2 linked regions of the Macaca fascicularis genome follow. The protein of the gene in region 2 purifies or fractionates together with the protein of the main gene of each other region. This does not show direct contact. Links are inferred from orthologs where the notes say so. Each region holds a gene or a part of one and is shown on either strand. Other genes may lie near its edges.

Region 1 (11,272 bases), on a different chromosome or scaffold from region 2:
AGCCTCCCCAGTAGCTGGGCTACAGGGTAGCTGGGACTACAGGTGCGTGCCACCACCCCTGGCTAATTTTTGTATTTTTAGTACAGACGGGTTTTCACCATGCTGGCCAGGCTGGTCTCGAACTCCTGACCTCAGATGATCCACCCGCCTCGGCCTCCCAAAGTGCTGGGATTACAGGAGTGACCCACCAGGCACAGCCCAGAGTTTCTTGAGAAGAAAAACCACAAGACCCAGGCAGCAGCAGCCCCCTGTGGTGCTCCATCACTGGCGAGGGCAGGGAGGGGGTCAGGTCATGCTGAGCCTGGCAAGGGTGGGAAGGGCTTGCAGAGGCCCCAGAGCCTCATTCCCAGGAGACCAGCTGTACATCCGGCCCCTGGGATCCTCTGAGCACCCTCTACAAACATTCCACGTCCTTCTGAGCACCCTCTACAAACATTCCACGTCCTTCCTCTGGGACTGACCTTGACACATCCTGTGTTTGATTCCCAGTACCCAGCCCTCCCTTATACTCCCCAGGTTTCTGCCTCACTGTCCCTCACTCCTAGTTATCAAACTCCAATCCGTGAACAATATTTATTGAGCGCCTATGGCATTTGTACACAGCATTGGACTGTGCGAGGCACTAGGGGTGAGTGGTGAAACAGAGAGGGAGGACAGAAGAGCTAACGGGACACTTCCTCTCAGTGAGAAGCTTGGGAGGGCATGGAAGTGGGAAGAGAAGAGCTGCCGTTGGCCTAGTGACAAATTTGGGAGCCCTGCAACTGGGCTGTATCTGGACTGCTCATCTGAAAGCCAGTGACTGGCGGGGTGCGATAGCTCATGCCTGTAATCCCAGCACTTTGGGAGGCCAAGGTGGGTGGATCACCTAAGGTCAGGAGTTTGAGACCAGCCTGGCCAACATGGGGAAACCCCATCTCTACTAATAATACAAAAATTAGCCAGGTGTGGTGGTGCACATCTGTAGTCCCAGCTACTTGGGAGGCTGAGGCAGAAGCATCATTTGAACCGGGAGGCAGAGGTTGCTGTGAGCCGAGATCATACCACTGCACTCTAGCCAGAGCGACAGAGCAAAACTCCATCACAAACAAACAAACAAACAAACAAAAAAACCCAAAAAGGCAATGTCCACAATTTCTACCTCCCAGTTGTCATGTCTGACAATGTGGGCTGATGTCCCTCTGTGCTCAGTGCCTGAGGAGAGAACCTCTGGGGTCGTCCTCCACGGGGGGACAATTCCTTCCTTCCTGGGGATGGCCCACGAGAGGCTGGCCTTACCCAGACCCCAGAACCTAAGGGACCTGGGGGCCAGCAGCCTCGGTCCCTGCACTGTCCCCAGGTTGCCTGACGCTGCCAGGGACCCCCTGTGCTGCTACAACCTTGGAGGCGCCCTCACCTCTGGGTACCGTGAGCATTGTGTGGCCAGCTTCCCTCTCGGCAGCTTCCCTGGCCATGCACGCCCCCTCGTGGTTGGTCGTCGGCACTTTTCCTTGTTTGGATTTGCTACCTGCTCTGGGCTTCCTTGGGGGCTGCCCCGGCCTTTGTGGGTGACTTAGAATGGAGGGTGGAGTTGGAACCTGCTGCCCTGGTTTGCGTGGGGGAGCCTGTAAGGACTTGCTGTATGACATCCTGGGAGTCACTTTCCTGAACCTCAGTGGGCCCAACAAGCCACGGCCAGGTAAAGCTTTTGTGACGGCCAAGAGTTTAGTGCAGAGAGCATGGTTTCTGAGCCCCCTCTCCATTCTGGAAGCTTATCTGCCAGCTGGTGTATCTCCCCAGAGATGCTGGAGGGCCTGGGAGGACTCCAAATCTTGGGGAGAGACTGTAACTTGGGTACTTTCTCCCCAGGGCCTGATTTCCGGGGGAATAACCTCCTATAACTAGGTGTCAGCAGATGGGAGCCCTGTCTGGCAGAGAGTAGATTCCAGGAGAGAGTTAGCAGCCCAGCTCTCTCCTTCCCTTTCTGCCATGAGCTCTGCTTGTGCAAAATCACCCATTTTGATCACTGAAACACTTCTGGGAACCGAGCAGGGCAGCAATAGTGTCCCCACTTTACAGATGAGAGTACTGATGCTTGCAGGTGCAGGTCCTTCGGGTGTCCAGGACAGGGGTGGGCTCTGAGCCTTTGTTGCTGTTCCGTGGCCTTTCTAAATCCTCCTGACACCTAGGAGCCATTGGAACCTTTTAGGGTCTGGAAGTCTCAGCCTGGTGGGGGCTACTGGGGTGGAGCCCTGACTCAGTCACGCCCATGGGGGGAAGGGTAAAAGGAGCCGAGACTGTTACCCTCCCCATGTCAGAGGTTGGGCATCCATCAGATTCGCCCCCACTTGGCACACTCCCCATTGCAGGCTGGCTCACCCTCAGCTGGGTGAGAAGAACAAGAGGCAAGGGGCCTTGGGCACACAGTCTGGGGGTCCCCCGAGCCCCCTCATCTTTATTCCAGTTCCTCAGATGTGGCAGTTCCCTCAGCTTCCCTGGAGACAAGTATCAGACAAAGGTGGTGGCAGACACTGGACAGGGCCCTGGGTGGGGCTGCTGGCGCTAAAAGGACTTCTCAGCAGGCGCAAGGTCTCCCGCCCCAAACGACCCTTCTGGCCACTTCAAGCTACTCCTCTGCTGCCCGGCTTCCCTCTGCCTCTGGCTCCCCTGGCTGAGCAGGGCCTTCACGGGCTCGACCCTGGCCCCCTTCAGCAGTTGTGTCAGACTCTTCCCGAGTGTCCCTGGGGCTGGCTTTGACCCCAGCGTCCTCATCTCCCTGGCACCCTTGCTCCTCCCCTCTGCTCCTTGCCTCTGACTGCCCTCTGCCCTCCTCCTCTGTTGCAGCCTCCTGGGTCTCAGGCCACTCTGCCCGGCGGTAGACAAGGTAGCCAGTGGTGGGCAGCCTGCGGGCCAGGGCTCCAGGGGGCAGGCGGTGGTAGCCCTGGTCCTTGTACAGGAAGAGGCCAAAAGTGTTGGGCTGTGTCACTCGGAACTTGGTGGCACAGAGCTGGTTCAGGGTGGCGATCGAGGCCTCTGGGGGCACGGCCAGGGTCTTGGAGGTGCAGCCACTGCTGGGATCCTGATAGGCTACTCGGAGGAGGTGCTATGCAGGAGGAGAAGCAAAAACAAGTACTCAGCCCTGACTGGCATGCATCTGGCTCCAAAGCTGAGGGACCAGTGTGGGCTGTGCAGGGACAGGGTGGGGAGGTGGAAATCCAGTGGGAGAACCAAGTGGCAAAAGCTCTGTGAGCTCCAGGGGTCGGCTTGTGGGCCACAGTTGAAGGTGCAGGACAGCCCAGTGGGGAGCTCACAAGCCTGAGACGAAGCTTTGATAGTGCACACTTTGTGCCCCAAGTACTCTCCTGCATTAACTCATTTAATCTTTACCTCAACCCCACGAGGTAGGTCCTATTACCCCATTGTACTGATGAGAAAACTGAGGCACAAAGTAGTTAAGTAACTTGCCCAAGTCCCCACAACCCAGTGGCAGAGCTGGGATTAGAACCCGGGATCTGGCTACAGAGTCTGGACTCTTCACCAAGGACAGGAAGGTGAAAGGCGGGGATGGTGTCTGGCTCTGAGGACACGGTGGAGGGCCTGTTACCTGGAAGCAGTGGGTGGCAGGCAGGCGGCGCTGCTCCCAGAGGCTGAGGGAGCGCCGTAGCTCCTGCGAAGGACTCAGTGGGAGGGTATGGGCCTGACCCAGGCCACTCAGCAAGGCCAGGCTGGCAGACAGGCTGGTCAGGTAGTAGCCACCTGGGACACAGGGTGGAATAACACGGCTCAGGCTGGGTGTGGGGCACCCATCCCCTCTCCCCTTCCCTGCTTATTCAGGGCCCACCCAGGCAGGGAAGTGGGTGGGGGTCCCTCACCCTCTCCGGTGAGCAGGCTGGGCTCCAGCAGCTCTGACATGTACTCGGCCTCCAGCAGCAGCTCAGGAAGGTCACAGTGGGCCAAGACGAGGCTCAGCAGAGGCAGGAACTCGTCAGCACCCGCGTCCTCCCCTGTGGGGACATGGTGAGAGGAAGAAGCTTCAGGTGCAGTCCTTGCTTTAGGCAGTGACCCCTCCCCATGGCCTAGCAACCATGGCAGGGCTTCGGAGAGAACGCACTGCTCTCTGGGCCTCAGTTTCGCAATCTGCAAGATGGGAGGGTGGGCTCATTCTCTCCCGCAGGGCCATTCCAGGGTCCTGGGGACCTGCCACTGGGGGTCCCACCTCCAACTCAGAGGGGCAGGGCAGGGTGAGGTGGTGGCAGAGACATACCCTCCTGGGTCCTCAGGGCCATGTAGAGCAGCTTGCAGGCCTGCAGGAGCCGCTTCACCTGGGCGCTGGGTGAGTAGGTGCGGAGCAGCTGCAGCAACTTCTGGCGCACCTGCTCCATCTCTACTGGGGAGGGCAGGCTCAGGTGGGACCCAAAAGCTCCGGGACCCTGGGCCCGGGCCAGGCGGAGGCCCTCAGCTAGGCGGCCCAGGGAGCCGTCTGCGGCAAGCCGGCGCCGCACGCGGGCTGCCAGGATGGGCCGGAGAGGCTTGAGCACAGAGCGATGCAATGACTTCTCCAGGACATGTTCTGCCAGAGGAGGGGCAGGGAGGGGTCAGGGGAAGACTGGGGAGATGGGGGACAGAGGCCAGGGGAGATGGGGGACAGAGGCCAGGGGAGAAGGGAGCAGGGGTAGAATCGGGGAGGAGAGGCAAGGAAAGCAGGAGGAGGTAGCCTGGGTGAGACAGAAGAGTTTGGGGAGAGAGAGGATGGAACTCTCTCGAACAGTGGTAAGACAGGGTGGGTTTGTAAAGCAGCAGAACAGAATCAGACAGGCTGGCGCTGTGGAGGGGAGCAGAGGGTCGGATGGGGCAGTGCTGGAGCTATGGAGAGACGGAGCCTCACCCAGCCTTTTAGGCGGCAGCAGCTTCTCAGGGCCCAGCTCCACGCTCAGCATGGCCCGGGCCCGGCTCAGTGCCTGACGGATGCCCTGCAGCTCCTGGGGCTCAGGCCCGGCCCGCACCTGGGTCAGTAGGTCCTGCACCAGCTGGCCTGCGGCTGTGTGTCGGTCCTGCATCAGTGCCGCCGCGGCCCGGCCCACCTGCCGCTCCGGCGCCAGTAGGGAGCAGAAGGCGGCACTCATGGACCGAAGCAGAGGCCGCCGGCGGCCCAGGTGGGGTGAGGTCGCTGGGCTCCCCCGGGACCCTGGCGCCCCCTCCTCCTCGGAGCTGCTGGGGGAGCCGCAGTCCACCTCCTGGAGGGAGGGCATAGGCGGAAGGCTAGGGTCACCGCCTGCTGGCACGCGGTACCCCACTGAACTCTCCCTCCGCAGCAACTGGCAAGGGGGCAGCCGCTCTGTCTGGCTGGGGACTGCCCCTGGCAACACAGGGACCGGGGGAGGCGGCACGGCAGGTGGAGACAGGGGGCTGGAAGTCTCTGTGGACACGCGCACTTTGAAGCTTCTCTTGAATTTCTCCCGCTTGGTGGGCCCCAGGTCCCCCGGGAACAGGGGGTTGAAGAAGCACAAGGCGGCTCCGGTGCCCTGGTCCAGCTCTTGAGGGGACCGGGCCTTCAGCTGGGGCAACACTGGGCCTCCAGCCGGGCCCCGCTGAGCCTTGATGTTGAGGGAGGAGCTCCAGAACTCTAGGGAACAAGAAACCAACTGGGGCCTCCAGGATTGGTTAGGGGAAGTTTCCCAACCAAGGAAAGGCATGGGCTTCGGGCCGTGTGCTGCGAGCCTTCCCCTCCCCTCAGCCTTTTCATCTGTGCAATGGGTGGCAAGGAGCTCTTACCAATGCCCAGATGGGAGATGGCCTCCAGCTCTTTGTGGGTGGCTGCACGGTGGATGGCTCTGGGGAGCTGCAGCGGGAGGAGAAGGATGTCCCTGAGGCCAGAGAGGGGAGCAGAAGGGAGTGAGGGCCGAAGGGGGTGGGGAGGATGGGCTGTCCCAAGGAGCAGGGCCCGTGGACACCGGGCACCCTGCAGGCAGACTCACCGGGTGTGGCAGTAGGCACAGATGAGCTGGACTAGGTCTGGGAACATGAGCTCCGAGCCCTCCAAGGAGACGCCTGAGAGAGGAGGGAAGTGAGGTGCTTCTCTAGGGAACCTCCCTCCTTCCAGCCCCTTCCTGCCAGGCCAGCCCCTCACCGCCAGGGCTCTCCAGGATGTAGTGGCTGGAGACGAAGGAGGGGCCGCTGGCTTCGGGCAGTCGCATGCACAGGGCCTGGCACTGTCGGGTGTTAGATTTCCGCACGAGGAACGTCTGCAAGTGGATAGGGCTCAGGCAGCTCAGGACCTTGGCATTCCACCCTTCTCCCTCCCACCCCTGGCTGGCCAGTCCCTGGAGGTTGGGGGCAAGACTCACCCCCGGGGGCTCGGTCCTCAGCACGTGCAGTGCCGCGGCTGCGTTGGCTTGCAGCTGCAGCCACACAGGCCGGGTGAGCAGCAGGCGCTCCCGCAGGCTCACAACGCGTCCCGGCCGCTGTGGCCCGCCTGCCTGCCCGCCGCTGGCATTGGGCACGTCATACAGTGGGTCCTGGGCTGGCCTGAGGGCGGGCATCCAGATCTGAGCAGGGAGCCAGGGGCTGGGACCCTTGCTCTCCTCTTCCCCGCTCCCAGGTTTCCCACCTTCTCCATCCCCAGATAGACCCTCTTCTCGCAGCCCCTCCCTGCCCCACCTGGCTGCCCTGCCAACTTCACTAACTTTTCTGTCTCCAGGTGCCCAGGAGTGAAGCTGGATGGGCTGGGGGCTCCCGGAGGGCCCGTGCCTGACTCTCCAGGGCTTTCCATGGCTGGGAGCTCCTTCGGCTTCAGGAAGAGAATCCAACCCCAAGGCAAGGCACGCACATCCCCAGTGAGTAACACTTCCTGAGGGCGGTCCGCCTGTCACACCCGCCTGTTAACTCTTGTGTGTCCACCCCGCCTGGCCAGTGCCTGCCTCCTCTGTTCTGGACCCTGCTTCGGGGGTCAGGGATCCCCTCCGTGCTAGCCCTGCTCTGAGGGCCCCAGCTGGGGGGTGCCACCTCCACACAGGGCCTCCTGCAGCCTCACCAGCTCCTCAAATTGCACAGGTGGGCGGGAAGTGGTTAAACGGCCGACTCAGTCCCCGCAGGCCCCAGCCACACTCTGGGGGCACCTCTGGGTCTGTGGTCAGTTGCTCATCTGCCCCTGGCCTCAGGTCAGCCTTGTGGGAGAGCACCCTCTACTGTCCATAGATGACTCATTCCTGAACATGGGTTTTAGGATTTTAGGTTGCCATGGAGAAAATATGCCACGTCTCCATGGAAACCAACCTATTTGCTTAACTGAGGTTCTGGGGGTGGTTCTGACACTCAGCACTAACCAGGGGGAGTCTGGCTGTGAGGTCGTTAGCACATGGTGCTGCTGCCGGCTGCCTCCTACGCATGCAGGCTCTGCCAGCCTGCCTTGCCAATCTGCCAGGCAACTGGGACAGGTGCAGACATGACCCAGGCTTCAAGCACACGCACCCATCCTCCCCACCCGAGGCACTCCGCTGGCGCCATATGTTCTCTGCCCAGTGCCAGGCAGCCCAGCGCCCACCTCCCCCTCCCCAGTGTGGCCCCACGCACAGTGCTCCAGCCTCTGCTGGGCAGTGCAAGGAGTGGCAATCTGCAGGCACCTCAGAAGTCAGCCTGGTTCAGGTGCTCCCCACAGAAGCCCTGATTCTCTTGCAAGGTAAATCACACATACACGGGGCACACCAGAATCCCAGGAAAGGTTTTAATTCTAGTCCTTGAAATCTGAGAGGCAGACACCAAGAACTGCCCTGAGAAAACCTGGGGGGCCTGGCATCTCGCCTCCAGCCCCAGCCAGGGTGGACAGCCCCCCTAGATATCACGTCTGACTCAGAGTTCCTGCACAGTGGGGCCTGGCTCCCTGGCCCTGAGGCCGGAGAGCCTGCATCCAAGGTCAGCAAGAGGATGTGGCTTTGACTTCAGCTGTCTTCTCTGTCAGGGGAGCCCCAAGAGGCGGATCTTCAGGAGCGGGAGGTGGCAGGCGGCTCAGGGATGGAGACAGCAGCCTTGCCTGGCCAGGTCGGCTCCACAGCCACAGCTGTGCAGGCCTCGAGGAGGGCAGAGGAGGAGTCCAGGCCAGTGCCAGCGGAGTGGGAGGGCCCAGCAGCACCACAGGAGCCTGGCTGGGCAGACCCTGAGGGGCCTGTGGGTCTGCCTGTCTGCAGCAGGAAGATGAGAATCCTGGGTGCGGTGCCAGCTGCTCTGAGGGTCCCCCTGGCTCTGAACAGCAGGGTCACGGTCCTGTGCGTATGTGGGAAGGAGAAAACTGTCACCAGTGAGGAAGCTGAAAGGAGGGGGGCAGCCACTTACTGAGCGGAGTGACTTTGGGCTGGCCCAGGACAGGCCTCCTGGGCAGCTCCACGGCCCTCCCTGACCCCTCCTGAGTGGGAGCTCCATCAACCCAGGCTTCCCCAGCCCCATCCTGGTTCCTGCTCCTCAAACTCCCACAAGCCCCTCAAATCTAGACCATCCTAACTTTCTTGGGCCACTGATTCTGACACAGCCACAGCCTCTCTCTGGGCTCCTTCCTGGAGGCTGAGCTGAGGGAAGGTGATGGCAAGGCGGGCAGGGGAGGCCGTACAACAGCCATAGTTCTTACCATCCGATTTTCTCTTCTGAGGGGACACAGCTGCCCTAGCCTGGGTGGATGAGAAGAAAAGCCCCCCTGAGAGCCCACCTACAGCCTGGCAATCCCTGCCCCACCTCCCACCTCTGTGGCGTGTGGGCTGCTGCCTTAGTGCTATGCCCCCAGGGCCAGGAACATAGGGCCCCCCAAGCCAGAGCTCCCATGCTCCTGACCGCTGGCCAGCTCAACGGCTCTCCCGCCTCCCTGCCCCCCTCCCCCCTCCCACCCCATCAAAACCTGCCCTGGAACAGGAAGGGGCTGACACAGACTAGAAATCCCTTCTCCCAGGGCCGCCTTGAGCAAGAGGACTTGTGAGCCAACTGCGATCCAGGGACCCTGGGCTGAAGATGGGGGAGCCTTGGTGAGCAGAGAACTCCCAGGCCTGCAGATGGCAGAGCTGCTGCCAGGGTGGGGGGCCCTGAGGTGGGGCAGGGCACATGGGCAGCAGCGGCCCCACCTTTTTGATGGCCGTCCAGTCCTCCAGGATGTCGATCTCTTGAAGCATGTACACGATGTATGGGCCTGTGGTGGGGGTCAAGGAAGCCCAGTGGAGGCGGCAGGTGACGAGGGCAGGGCCACCCACCTGACATTCAGGAGTGGGGGTACAGCAGACAGCATGAAGTGGGAGCTGAGGATCTGGGTCCGAGCTCAGGTTCCACCTCCTACCTCTTCTCCCCCCAGTTCCAGGGTCCTCCTGGAACCAAGTCCATGGAGGACACCAAGTGTTGTTCCCCATCCCTTGCTCACCCTCACCTCGTCTTGAGGTCAGCTGGCTGAGGCCCATCCCATCTCACCCTGCAGCACAGCCCTGACCTGGCCCCTTCCCCGATCCAAAGACAGACGCAGGGCTTCTCCCTTCAGAGACAACTCCCCTTCCCCACAGTGCTCCCTACCTGATGTCTCCATGCCTTCACCTCTCATTCGCTCAAGTCACGGCCTTCCAGATTCCTCCCTCCCTGCCTGGGCCTGCTCTCCAGCACCAGGTGGCCATAATGACTAAGGCTGGCTGCTGCAGGAATGCCCTCAGGGGCACAGGAGGACTCAGCTCTGCCAGGACAGATGAAAGCACAGCAGGCCCTGGACTAAGCTTAAGCTAACCCTGCCTAGGGAGGGGCGGAGGCAGCTGGTGCCCTCTGGGATGTGGGCACCCCATGGTAGGGCACAGGAACACACAGGAGAGTGAAGCCATAGGCACTGGAGTAAGACCGGAGAGGCCTCACAGAGGAGGTAACGTTTGACATGAGCCCTGGACAGTCAGGACAGGCAGGACTTCCAAGAGGAGGGTGGGATATGAGCAAAGGCTCCCCAGGGAGAGCTGGGGACCCGCTCAGACAACCCCAGGAGATGGAAAGTCCTCAAAGGCCAAACCTCACTCAGGCTCGAGTGCAGTGGCACATCATGGCTCGCTGCAGCCTTGATCTCTCAGGCTCAAGCAATTCTCTTGCCTCAGCCTTCAGAGTAGCTGGGACTATAGATGCACACCGCCACACCTGGCTAATTTTTGCTAATTTTTCTAGAGACGGGTTTCACCATGTTGCCCAAGGTGGTCTCGAAATGAACTCCTGGGCTCAAGCAATCTACCTGCCTTGGCCTCCCAAAGTGCTCGGACTATAGATGTGAGCCACTGAGCCTAGCCCGTTTCTGTTTTCCTAGGGTCCACATAGCCCAGAGAGACCCAAGACCCTGTAAGAAATTGCTGACAGCTGGATTTGCCTGGACATGGTCACATGACACCAAGCAACCACAAGTGCATCTAGTGCGACTGTCCTCCATGTCCCCTCCAAACCTCTCCCCCAGGTCTGGAGGTGACCCTAACATCCTGCCACCTTTTAGGCCACCTTAGGTGAAAGGATACCAGAAACCAGAGGTGCCTTCTTCCTCTTGCTGGGCGGCAGGGAGTCCCAAGACCTGGAGCTGCCTCTGGCGTGCAGTTTGTCGTCCCACCATTCTGCCCCCAGACCCAGAGTTAGAACTGGGGTGCTGGCCCACAGGACACTCTCTCTTCTGTAGCCTCTGCCCCCACCATGGGCCAGCCTGGCCTCATATCCCCTGCCCCATCACAACCCTGGGCTTGGGGTAGGAAGCCCCTTAGGGCTGTTCAGGTCCTGCCCGCACAGCTGTGCAACCCCGGGAAGAGGCCGCTGCACTTCTGTGAGCCTCATCTGTTTAGTGGACAGTGGGATGACAATTCCTGCCACCCCAGGACTCCACATGAACACAGGTACTATGAACGTGGAGGGGACTAGAGCTATTGCATGGGACTGCATGTCACACTGATACCTGTTTTGGAAAGAGCAGGGGCAGAAGAGGGCAGGGAGACCCACTCTGCCCGAGCCCCTACTGTGTGCCAGGCCCTTTCCAGGCCTGGTTTCCTTCAGTCCTCACACTGACCCCAAGAGGCAGGTCCTCTGACTGTCCCCTTGACTTCAGGACATCTGAAGTCTAGAAAGGGGTGGGCGTTGACAGAGCCAAGCCCAGGGCCGGGGTGCCCGGGCTCTCGCGCTCACCAGAGCTGAGGTCCAGGCTCTGGCGGTCCTCCTCCAGCCTCTGGATCCGCTCCTGCAGCTCCCCCTGCAGTGTGTCATAGAGCAGCAGCTTCTCACTCTGGAAGAGGGGGCAATAGCTCAGCAGGACGGATGGGGAGAGCTCACTTCA
Region 2 (10,967 bases):
GACGTGTGCCTCCAAGCTCAGCTAGTTTTTGCACCATGTTGGCCTGGCTGGTCTCAAACTCCTGACCTCAAGTGATCCGCCCACCTTGGTCTTCCAAAGTGCTGGGATTACAGACATGAGCCACTGTGCCCGGCCTGTTAGGTGAAAATTTTAGACTTAGACTTTGTACATAATGAAGGAGAGGAAGAATGTGGTCAAAGCTACGAGAGAAGTAGTTTCTGTTGAGTGAGTTGCTTGGTGCTAAAGGTAAGGAGTCTCTAGGAAGAAAGGGCTAGTAGCAGGAGAAACCAGCACAGCGATGACTTGAGCCTAAGCTAACACTGTGTCTTACATAATGCTGTTTATACAGATGAAGAGGTAGATATGAGAGACACTGTAAAACCGTAAAAAGTATGGCAATAGCCTAGAAACACAGACCGGTGAAGTCAGGGATTAGTGAGGCATTACAGCTCCTTCCTTCTGGAAAGAGTGGTATTGCTCCTGTAATAAGGATGATGAGGATGAAGAATATCTGTGTCTTCAGCACGCCTTGTTGCTGTTGGTGATGTGTCTGATCTTTTATGCTGGCCTCTGGCCATTGCTCACATAAGGCTGTCCCTGTGCTATGTGCACCATCTCTGCTACTTTCTTTCCCTGATTTCGGCCCCTGCCTGGAGCTCTCAGCTCTCTCAATTCAGTCTAAAACAGAATATTTGGGATTATTTTGGATGTTGAGTTGTTGTGGCAGTAACCGCTGCTTATGGTAATGAACCTTAGGTAATTCTCAGGCAAGTCACTTTGGCTTGCTTATACTGAGGTGAAATAGTTTCCTGTACCTAATTAACCAAGTCTCTCTAGTCTATTTCCCTACTCTCCCTATTCTGAAAGTTCTCTTCACTTTAAAAATGAAAGAGTAGAGCTGGGCACCATGGCTCACACCTATAATCCTAGCACTTTGGGAGGCTGAGGTGGGTGGATTGCCTGAGCTCAGGAGTTCGAGAACAGCCTGAGCAACAACAGTGAAACCCTATCTCTACTAAAATACAAAAAAGTAGCCAGGCGTGGCGGCGTGTGCCTGTAGTCCCAGCTACTCGGGAGGCTGAGGCAGGAGAATTGCTTGAACCTGGGAGGCAGAGGTTGCAGTGAGCAGAGATGGCGCCACTGTACTCCAGCCTGAGACTCTGTTTCCAAAAAAAAAGAAAGAGTAGAAAACGCTGGCAAGATAATGGATGTAAACTAAGTTTCCACTTACATAGTTGCTTTAGTCTATATAGGATCTTAAGAATCAACGGTAGAGGAAATCTTCATATGTAAAACAAAGGTATTATGTAATACTTCACGTATACTTTGAAGGTGTTACCCAGGTAGGTATGACGAATAAAGGGATTATATGATTCTACAAGTTTTTATTGGTTGGCTGGTGTTTTTGTTTTTAGTTATATACAGGGTGGCAGGTAGAGGGGGCTCACCTGAATAAATACTTTATAATTTGTCCCATGATCTAAGTATATATACATATATATATATAATTTGAAAAAGTTAGGCTTGTAAAACCTAAAATCATTATGTTTTTTGTATTAATAGTATATGCATATATGACACTAGTTATATGCCAAATGTTGTTTTAAGTACTGTATATATCTATAGACTAATTTAATTTTCACAATATTCCTATAAGGTAGATACTGTTTGTTATCATCATCAGTTTACAGGTAATGTACTGAGACACAAAAAGGTTATGTGCTTTGCCCAGATCAAATAGTTCATAAGTATCAGGGCCGAGTGATGAACCCAAGCAGTCTGGCTTCAGAGTCCCTGCCCTTAGCCACTGCACTCTACTACAGGCTGAGCATCCCTTATCAGAAATGTTCAGACCACAAGTGTTTCAGATTTGCGAATATTTACATACACATAATGAGATATCTTGGGGATGCGACCCAAGTCTAAACACAAAATTCATTTATGTTTCATATATACCTTTATAGACATAGCTTGAATGTAATTTAATACAATATTTAAAAAATTTTGTGCATGAAACAAAGTTATGTTAAGTACTTATGTGTGAAATGTTCCACCTATGGCGTCATATTGGTGCTCAAAAAATTTTGAATTTTGCAGCATTTTGGATTTTGGATTTTCAGATTTGAGATGGTGAACCCATATATTCACCTATTTTTTTTTTTTTTTTTTTTTGAAACGGAGTCTTGCTCTGTCACCCAGGCTGGAGTGCAGTGGCCGGATCTCAGCTCACTGCAAGCTCCGCCTCCCGGGTTTACGCCATTCTCCTGCCTCAGCCTCCCGAGTAGCTGGGACTACAGGCGCCCGCCACCTCGCCCGGCTAGTTTTTTTGTATTTTTTAGTAGAGACGGGGTTTCACCTTGTTAGCCGGGATCGTCTCTCGATCTCCTGGCCTCGTGATCCGCCCGTCTCGGCCTCCCAAAGTGCTGGGATTACAGGCTTGAGCCACCGCGCCCGGCCATATTCACCTATTTTTATATAGTATGCATGAATTAGCAGAGAAACCAAACCATTACCCCCAAATTAAAATTTTCTCCCATGATGAAAATCAAACAGTGAACCAAATTCTGGCTCTGTGACATCTTTATCCCTTGTGAATGAATTTTTTTCAGTAGTTGCAAACACTGGGAATTAGAAGAAAAGAAAGGTATTTTAAACACAGGGAAATTTTAATCCAAATGGAAAATTCATATTTTATCCAGTGTTTACACATAGTGTTTCCGGAAGTTCCCATTTTGGAGGTAATTTCAGTTATTTCTGGCCACACCCTGGATGGCAATGGAATAATTTCATAGTGCTTTTATAACAGGCAATATCTACGTCAGTGGATGGTTCATCTAAGTTCAACCTGGTTCAGGAAAGATATGCAAAGGAGAGCTCCATCCACCTCCTCTCCCAACCCTACCTTTCCAGTGGTTGTTTTGTTCCTTCTTTGCAGTGGCTCCCGTCCTGTCTAATTTAAGCAAAATTTCAGTGTTTTTTTTTTTTTTTTTTTACCTCCATTAACTTATACTTTTCATAAAGCAAATTGGGAAGCCAAAAGAATAACAGGAGAATGATCGAGCTTTTTGAGAATTAAAAAATTTGAATTAACATTAAGATGCAAGTAAGCACCGTGGGAGAGGGGCATGGCGAGTCAATTGTATATAGTATACGTGTGTGTATAAAACACTTCTTTCCTGCCTCATTCACCCTCTTTAGACCGCATAAGCTAACATGAGTAAGTTCTGACTCAGAAACAGGGTCAAAGATGTATATTTTTTCTCCTTTGTCATCAAAAGAAGACCTGACCACGTGCACAGTGTATAAAGGATGCCAGTGGGAAGATTAACTTTACTGTCAGGCATTGTAAGGGAAACAGAAACTCACATGTGGTGAGATAGGAGTTCAAGAGGAATTCATGGTAATATAATATGAGGAATGGGGCTACAATTGCGTCCCCAATGAGACTATAGAAGGCACACAATCCAGGCGAGTGCGATTTAACATCATGAAATAATCTCCAAAAATTAAAATCAAATAAGGTAGCATTTTACTCTCTTCTTGTAAATTTTATACCATTTTAATTTTTACTGGAGGCCTGCTGCTGACAAGGGTATTTAAAGGGATCCCCCTGGGCATTTCAGAGATCCTCAACTGGATGGCAAGGACCAAATAAATGCCTTGTGCTTTTCTGCCCCACCTGTGCCTGCACCTGAGGGGCGCACGCGGGGGCACTCAGCCCTCGACTCACTGATTTGACAGGTGGAAGTGGGATGGGGAAGGCCGGAGACCGACCAACCCCAAAGGCAGTAGCGTGTGGAGCCGAACGTGGGAGGGGGTCGGCTGAGGCGGATTGAGGGGTGGGATGCCGAGGTGCGGCGACAGGACTCGGAGGACGAAAGACTGCAGCAGCGGTGGTCGCCAACTGAGGTGGGCACTGGGGGACCCACCCTGCGAAGAGGCGGGGGCGGGGGCGCGGCGCGGCAAGGCGGGGCGGCAGCCGGGAAGCCCTCCTTCCCAGCGGCGGAGGTGACTGGCGGGCGGGGGGCGGGGGGCGGGAGACGCTCTGTCCCACGCTTTCCCAGCGCTCGGTGGTTTAAAGATGGCGGCGGCGGCAGCGGCGGCGTTTGGGGCGCGGAGCCGCGGGAGGAGGAGGGAAAAGCAGAATCTGTGAGTCGCCTGGAGGCAGTGCGGCGGCTGCCGTGAGGAGTCCGGGTGCGGAGCCGCCGGCGCCCCAGCCTCTCAGGGCCAGGGTCTGGGCTGGGAGGGAGAGGCCGGAGCAGCGCCAGGAGCCCGAGGCCGGAGTCGAGGAGGAATGTGACCAGGGGTCGGCGGGGGCGCGGGAGTACGCGAGAGCAGGGATGGGGCAGCAGGTGGGCCGCGTCGGGGAGGCTCCGGGGCTCCAGCAGCCTCAGCCCCGCGGGATCCGGGGCAGCAGTGCAGCCAGGCCCTCCGGCCGCAGGCGGGACCCGGCGGGGCGCACCACAGAGACCGGCTTCAATATCTTCACCCAGCATGGTGAGTGTGTCCGGGAGCCGGCGTGAGGGCGTGCGGGAGGCCGGGGGTGGGGTCGGGGCGGGGTGGGTGACGGACGGGCTGCCCGGGGGGTCGGGGGTGGAGGGTGCCTGAGAGTGGGGGCGGAATCTGCTGCCATCTGGTTCAGTCCTGGGAGGCGAGTCACACCCCTCCCCCCTCGCGTCTCCAGCTTGGCTGGCAGATCCCGGGGGCGGAGAAGGAAAGAGAAGTGGGCTTGGGGACCCTGGATGGTCTGTCCTCTACTCTGGGACGGGACTATGCGGCTGGAGAAAGAGAGTGAATGGCAGCTTCAGGAGAGGGAAGGATGAAGGGCAGTATGAGCTCAGTCCCAGAGGTGGGAGCATAAACCCGTCGTTAGTGAAGGGGAAATGGGTTGTGTCCTAAGGGACTGGGAAATAGGAACCGAATTTCAGGAGATTGTGGCGTAGAAGGTAATGTGTTTACGTCAGGTGATGAGCAGTGTCACGATAGTGAACTGTGGAGTGCCCAGAAATGCCTTTCTGTAGGAAAGATGAAGGTAGCATCTCATCACTTTTGACATGCTTTTGTGGTTTGTTTTGTTTTGTATTTCGTTTTTACTAGAAGTGAAAGGCTTTGCCAAAGCCTCTGTACTATGCTTCAGAGTAGGACACACAATTCTGAGATTGCTGGCAAGGGTTAGAGGTTGGTGGGCATGGTTAGGACTTCAGTCAGTATTTTTCCCCTTCGTAGTGTGTGTGTGTTCGCGTGCCCATATACATACTTACATGTATGTGTGCTCCCTGTAGTCTGAAACCTATTATTTTGATCTCATTGTCAATGTATTTTTAGAATAGTTGTCTCCAAACTGTTGTTGTTTTTTTTTTTTTTTTGAGACAGAGTCTCGCTTTAGTGCGCATTATGGAGTGCAATGGCGGGACCTCGGCTCACTGCAGTCTCCGCCTCCCGGATTCAAGTGATTCTCCTGCCTCCCGAGTAGCTGGGACTGCAGGTGCGCACCACCACGCCTGGCTAATTTTTGTATTTTTGGTAGAGACGGGGTTTTGTCATGTTGGCCAGGCTGGTCTCGAACTCCTGACCTCAGGTGATCCGCCTGCCTTGGCCTCCCAAAGTGCTGGGATTACGGGTGTGGGCCACCTTTCCTTGCCGCAACTCTTTTTTTTTTTTTTTTGAGACAGAGTCTCATTCTGTCACCCAGGCTGGAGTGCAGTGGCACGATCTTGGCCCACTGCAACCTCCGCCTCCCAGGTTCAAGTGATTCTCCTGCCTCAGCCTCCTGAGTAGCTGGGATTACAGGCGCCCGCCACCATGCCTGGCTAATGTTTTGTATTTTTAGTAGAGATGGGGTTTCACTATGTTGGCTAGGCTGGTGTGGAACGCCTGACTCATGATCCACCCGCCTCAGTCTCCCAAAGTGCTGGGATTACAGGCATGAGCCACTGCGCCTGGCCACATGTCTCCTATTAAAGATGTGCTTGAGTGTCTCTTTCAGGTATATGAACACTTTGTGAAGGTGATATATGAGCTAATCTTTATTAAAATGACTTCCTAAAACATAGGATGGAAGAATGGATTAGTAGTTTACAGGGAAGAAATCATCCAAGTAAGCTTCACTTTGTGGGAAGTGTTACTATGCATTAAACTTGGCCTAGTAGGCAGTGATGATCCTCCTCCTCTACTATCTTATTCGGTATATAAGATTTTCCAAGAAAGAGGAAGTAGTGAAGAATGGAATAGGAAGACATTTTGAGGATTTGGATCCATGGAGAGGGAGAACAGGTTGGGCAGAAGAAACAACTTGAGCAAGAACATGGGAATAGATATAATTTGATGATAGGATAGTGAGGAGACATCTGTCAGGAATGAAGCATCATTATGAGTTGGAAGAAAAAGATCATAGAGCAAAAATTGGAAGAGTCGAGTTCTGGTTCTGGCTCCACCTGGCTGGGTGATTTTAGTCACCATCTTTGGGTTTCTTTATCTGTAAAGTGAGGAGGTTGGACTGGATGATCTCTAAGATACTTTCTGATTTTAAGATTTTATGATTCTAATTAAGAAGCAGTAGAAAGAAAATTTTGATAGGCTGGATGGGACTGGGTTATGGAAAATCTGGCAGAGAAGTTTATATTCGTTTACCTGCTTGGCTAGTCTTCACCTGAAAGACTGGCCTTGAGTGGTGGCAGTGGAAATAGGAGGAGTAATTTCAAGGGGCCTTTCATTCATTCAACAAACAAGGGGTTTTTTTGAGCACCTATTACATACTAGGTTGTGGGAATGTTGCTGTGAACATAACAGAGTCCCTGCCCTTTGGAACTTAAAGGACTTTATGATTTGATAGAGGATGAAAGAAGAGAGATCACTTTGGAGTATTTGTTAAGGGCATGAACTCTGGACCCATTTTTCCTGGATTTGAAACCTTGCTTGGCTGCTTATGAGCTTTGTGACCTGGGACAAGTTATTTAACTTTTTTGTGCCTTGGACTCTTCATTTGTAAAGTGGTGATAATAATAGTATCTAGTATTAAATGAATAGTGGCTGGGCACGTAGTATGAGCTAAATGTGTGCTAGCTGCTGCCATTACTAATACTACTGTTATTATTAAAAATAGGGATAATTCAGCTGGGTGCGATGGCTCATGCCTGTAATCCCAGCACTGTGGGAGGCCGAGGTGGGTGGATCACGAGGTCGGGAGTTTGAGACCAGCCTGAGCAACATGGTGAAACCTTGTCTGTACTAAAAATACAAAAATTAGTTGGGCATGGTGACACGTGCCTGTAGTACTAGCCACTCAGGAGATTGAGACAGGAGAATCACTTGAACCCGGGAGGCAGAGGTTGCAGTGAGCCAAGATCGTGCCACTGCACTCCAGCCTGGGCGACACAGCAAGACTCTGTCTCAAAAAAAAAAAAAAAAAAAAAATAGGGATAATTCAAAGATGACACCAGGATTCAGAACCTGGCTAACTGGAATGATGATGATTCTATTGACAAGTTTGGAAGTTAGAAGCTGATTGAAAAAATGGGAATAGGGCAAGTTTATTGCCAAAGACTAGTATGAAAAGAAAGGAATTAGCAAATAATATAGGAAACAAAGATGAAGTGAGTACTGTTTTTTAGACAGATGAGTTTTAAAACTTTTTTTCTGTAGATCATAGTTTCTTAACCTTGCCGGCATTGTTATTTTGGGTTGGCTAATTCTGTGTTGTGGGGGGCCGTCTTGTGCATTGTAGGATGTTTAGCAGCATCCCTGGACTCTACCCACTAGATGCCAGTAGCACCCTCTTTTTGCCCCTTACTTGTCACAAGTAAAAATGCCTACAGACATTGTTCAATCTCTTGGGGGGAGTGGAATTGCCCCTAGTTGAGGACACCACTTAGAAATGTGATAGATTCTGAACTGAATGAATGAATGAACTAGATTCATAAGCTTCTCAGTGGATGTATCATTTGACATTAACATGGTAAATCTAGATGCTCGAATCTAGTGTACAAATTACTGTCTTGAGTTTGCAGTATTAAGGTATTAGCACATAATTTCATATATGAACGTTAGGTCTGTTAGACTCCTGAGGTTTTTTTTGTAGGTTTTAATGTAAGCCAAATAATACATTTAGTTAATCAGTAAAAAGGTACATGCATTATGGAAATGGTTTGTCAGAGTCCAGGACTTTTCTTTCTTTAGCTAAAATGGTCATTTTTCATTGTTAATAATATGTGGGTAAGCTGTGGTGATAATTGGCCTTGCCAAAAGTGATTTTTGTGAATATACTTTAGAAGGAACAAAATAGGGCCGTTTTTGGTATGAAAGGAGTGAGTGCTGTGTGACTTTTCTGAGCTCTGCTATTTTTTTTTTTTTGTAAACACTTACTTTTATTTATGTTTTATTTTAGAGAAAAGTCTTGCTCTGCCACCCAGGCTGGAGTGCTGTGCTGCGATCATAGATCACTGCAGCCTTAAACTCCTGGACTCAAGTAATCCTCCTGCCTCAGCCTCCCGAGGAGCTGAGACTACAGGCACATGCTACCACACCTGGGTAATTTTTTGTATTTTTTTTTTTTTTTTTTTTGTAGAGACGGAGGTCTCACTATGTTGCTCAGCTGTTCTCAAACTCCTAGGCTCAAGTGATACTCTGCCTCAGCCTCCCAAAATACTGGGATTATAGGTGTGAGCCACCGCGAGAGGCAAGCTCTGCCATTAAACCTTTTTGGTGAGCTGATGTTTTGTGACTAATAATCTAGGGTTGAATACTTACTTGTCTGTATCACATATATCTTTTAACAGTTGAATGATTTTACTTCAGCTTCCGTCTCTCATTTTCTAAAAATTCTATTAAAATTTAACATTAGGCTGGGCACAGTGGCTCACACCTGTAATCCCAGCACTTTGGGAGGCTGATGTGGGTGGATCACCTGAGGTCAGGAGTTCGAGATCAGCCTGGCCAACATGGTGAAACCCCGCCTCTACTAAAAAAATACAAAAATTAGCCAGGTGTGGTGGCGGGCACCTGTAATCCCAGCTACTTGGGAGGCTGAGGCAGGAGAACCCCCTGAACTCAGGAGGCAGGGTTTGCAGTGAGCCGAGATCGTGCCACTGCACTCCAGCCTGGGCGACAGAGCAAGACTCCCTCTCTAATAAAACAAACAAACAAACAAACAAAAAACCTTAAATTATGAAGTTTGGAATAACAAAAATTTTTCCTTAAACTCATTATTTTAAGTGATCTGATTTATTTATTTATTTATTTTATTTTGGATCTGTGTTTTTTTTGTTTTTTTTGTTTTTTTTTTTGTAGTGAGGTAGGGTCTCACTCTGTTGCCCAAGCTGGAGTGCATTGGCGAGATAATGGCTCACTGCAGCCTGGGACCTCCCAGGCTCAAGTGATCCTGTCACCTCTCAGCCTCCTGAATACCTGGGACTGTAGGTGTGTGCCACCATGCCTTTCTCTCTCTGTCTCTTTTTTTTTTTGGTAGAGAGAGAGTTTTGCCATGTTGCCCATGCTGGTTTTGAACTCCTGGGCTCAAGTGATCTGCCTGCCTTGCACTCCCAAAGTTCTGGGATTACAGGTGTGAGCCACCACACCCGGCCAGTAGTTCATGTGGAATGAAGGCTGTCAGCACCCCAGGTTGAAAACGATACTATGGAAAGGACAGGAAGGCTGTTGCAAGGGAATTTTAATTATGGTGACTTAATATAAGAACTAAACTTCATTTTTTATTTTTATTTATTTTTATTTTTTTCTTGAGCACCAATCCTGAAGACTAAACTTTTAAAAATAAGTCAGCTGTTAGATTTTTATTAACCTCCAAATCTGTGTAAGTTATAGATGTGTAGTGGGGGTCCGTATTTTTAGCAAAGTAGTAAGTTGTAATACAGATTCTGTTATCGTAGCCCAGTTGGCAGTAAAATTCCAAGTAAAGTGATGAAGTCTGAAGTTTCTCCATAAGGGTCTTCAGCCTGCTTTATTCAATAGTTTATTTATTTACTTAGGTGGGTTTTTTTTTTTTTTTTTTTTTTTTTGAGACAGGATCTTGCTCTGTTGCCCAGGCTGGAGTGCTGTGGTGTGATGATAGCTCACTGTAGCCTCAAACTCCTGGCTGAAGCCATTCCTGACTCAGCCTTCTGGGAAGTTGGGACTATAGGTGTGTGCCACCATGCCTGGCTAACTTTTAAATTTTTCTGTAGAGACGGGATTTTGCTGTACTGCCCAGGCTGGTCTTGAATTCCTAGGCTCAAATGATTCTCCCACCTTGGCCTCCCAAAGTGCTGGGATTACAGGCATGAGGCCCTGCATCTGGGGCCTCATTTCTTTTTTTTTTTTTTTTTGAGAGGGAGCCTTGCTGTGTCTTCCAGCCTGGAGTGCAGTGGCGTGATCTTGGCTCACTGCAACCTCCACCTCCTGGATTCAAGCAATTCTCCTGCCTCAGCCTCCGGAGTAGCCGGGATTACAGGCAGCTACCACCACGCCCGGCTAATTTTTGTGTTTTATTAGAGATGGGGTTTCACCATGTTGGTCAGGCTTGTCTTGAACTCCTGGCCTCGAATGATCCACCCCCCTCAGCCTCTCAAAGTGTTGGGATTACAGGCGTAAGCCACTGTGCCTGGCCTTTGTTGTTGTTGTTGTTGTTGTTGTTTTAAAGGTATTTAATTCCTCTGAATATCATCTTTAAAGGACCTGACTTGATTTTTGTCAAAATAAATCATAAGATGTAACCAGTCTGTGGGTTCTTCATGAGTTTCAGGCCAGGCGCGGTGGCTCACACTGGTAATCCCAGTACTTTGGGAGGCTGAGGCGGGCGGATGACAAGGTCAGGAGATCAAGACCATTCTGGCCAACATGGTGAAACCCTGTCTCTACTAAAAATACAAAAATTAGCTGAACGTGGTGGCGTGCACCTGTAATCCCACCTATTCAGGAGGCTGAGAGGCAGGAGAATCACTTGAACCTGGGAGGCAGAGGTTGCAGTGAGCCGAGAT

The links.
Region 1: the proteins of ABL2 (region 2) and RIN1 purify together in Homo sapiens (co-immunoprecipitation; 3 studies listed by BioGRID and IntAct, counting the BioPlex papers as one, with this or other methods). This does not show direct contact. The link is inferred for Macaca fascicularis from reciprocal best matches to the Homo sapiens genes ABL2 and RIN1.

What each region holds. Positions count from the first base shown.
Region 1 is NC_088388.1:8,062,145-8,073,416, reverse strand, and holds RIN1 (ras and Rab interactor 1), read right to left. Parts: upstream 6,781-11,272; 5' UTR 6,746-6,780; coding exon 6,660-6,745; exon of another isoform or gene 6,634-6,659; intron 6,522-6,633; exon of another isoform or gene 6,516-6,521; coding exon of another isoform or gene 6,502-6,515; coding exon 6,321-6,501; intron 6,219-6,320; coding exon 6,104-6,218; intron 6,025-6,103; coding exon 5,952-6,024; intron 5,841-5,951; coding exon 5,749-5,840; intron 5,600-5,748; coding exon 4,862-5,599; intron 4,547-4,861; coding exon 4,241-4,546; intron 3,981-4,240; coding exon 3,849-3,980; intron 3,733-3,848; coding exon 3,581-3,732; intron 3,080-3,580; coding exon 2,603-3,079; 3' UTR 2,392-2,602; downstream 1-2,391. Other genes in the region: BRMS1 (breast cancer metastasis-suppressor 1), read right to left, coding at 8,225-8,232, 8,591-8,630, 9,075-9,139, 10,473-10,565, 11,125-11,221. UniProt on the Homo sapiens protein: Ras effector protein, which may serve as an inhibitory modulator of neuronal plasticity in aversive memory formation. Can affect Ras signaling at different levels. First, by competing with RAF1 protein for binding to activated Ras.
Region 2 is NC_088375.1:36,734,275-36,745,241, reverse strand, and holds the start of ABL2 (tyrosine-protein kinase ABL2), read left to right. Parts: upstream 1-4,072; 5' UTR 4,073-4,340; coding exon 4,341-4,497; intron 4,498-10,967. UniProt on the Homo sapiens protein: Non-receptor tyrosine-protein kinase that plays an ABL1-overlapping role in key processes linked to cell growth and survival such as cytoskeleton remodeling in response to extracellular stimuli, cell motility and adhesion and receptor endocytosis.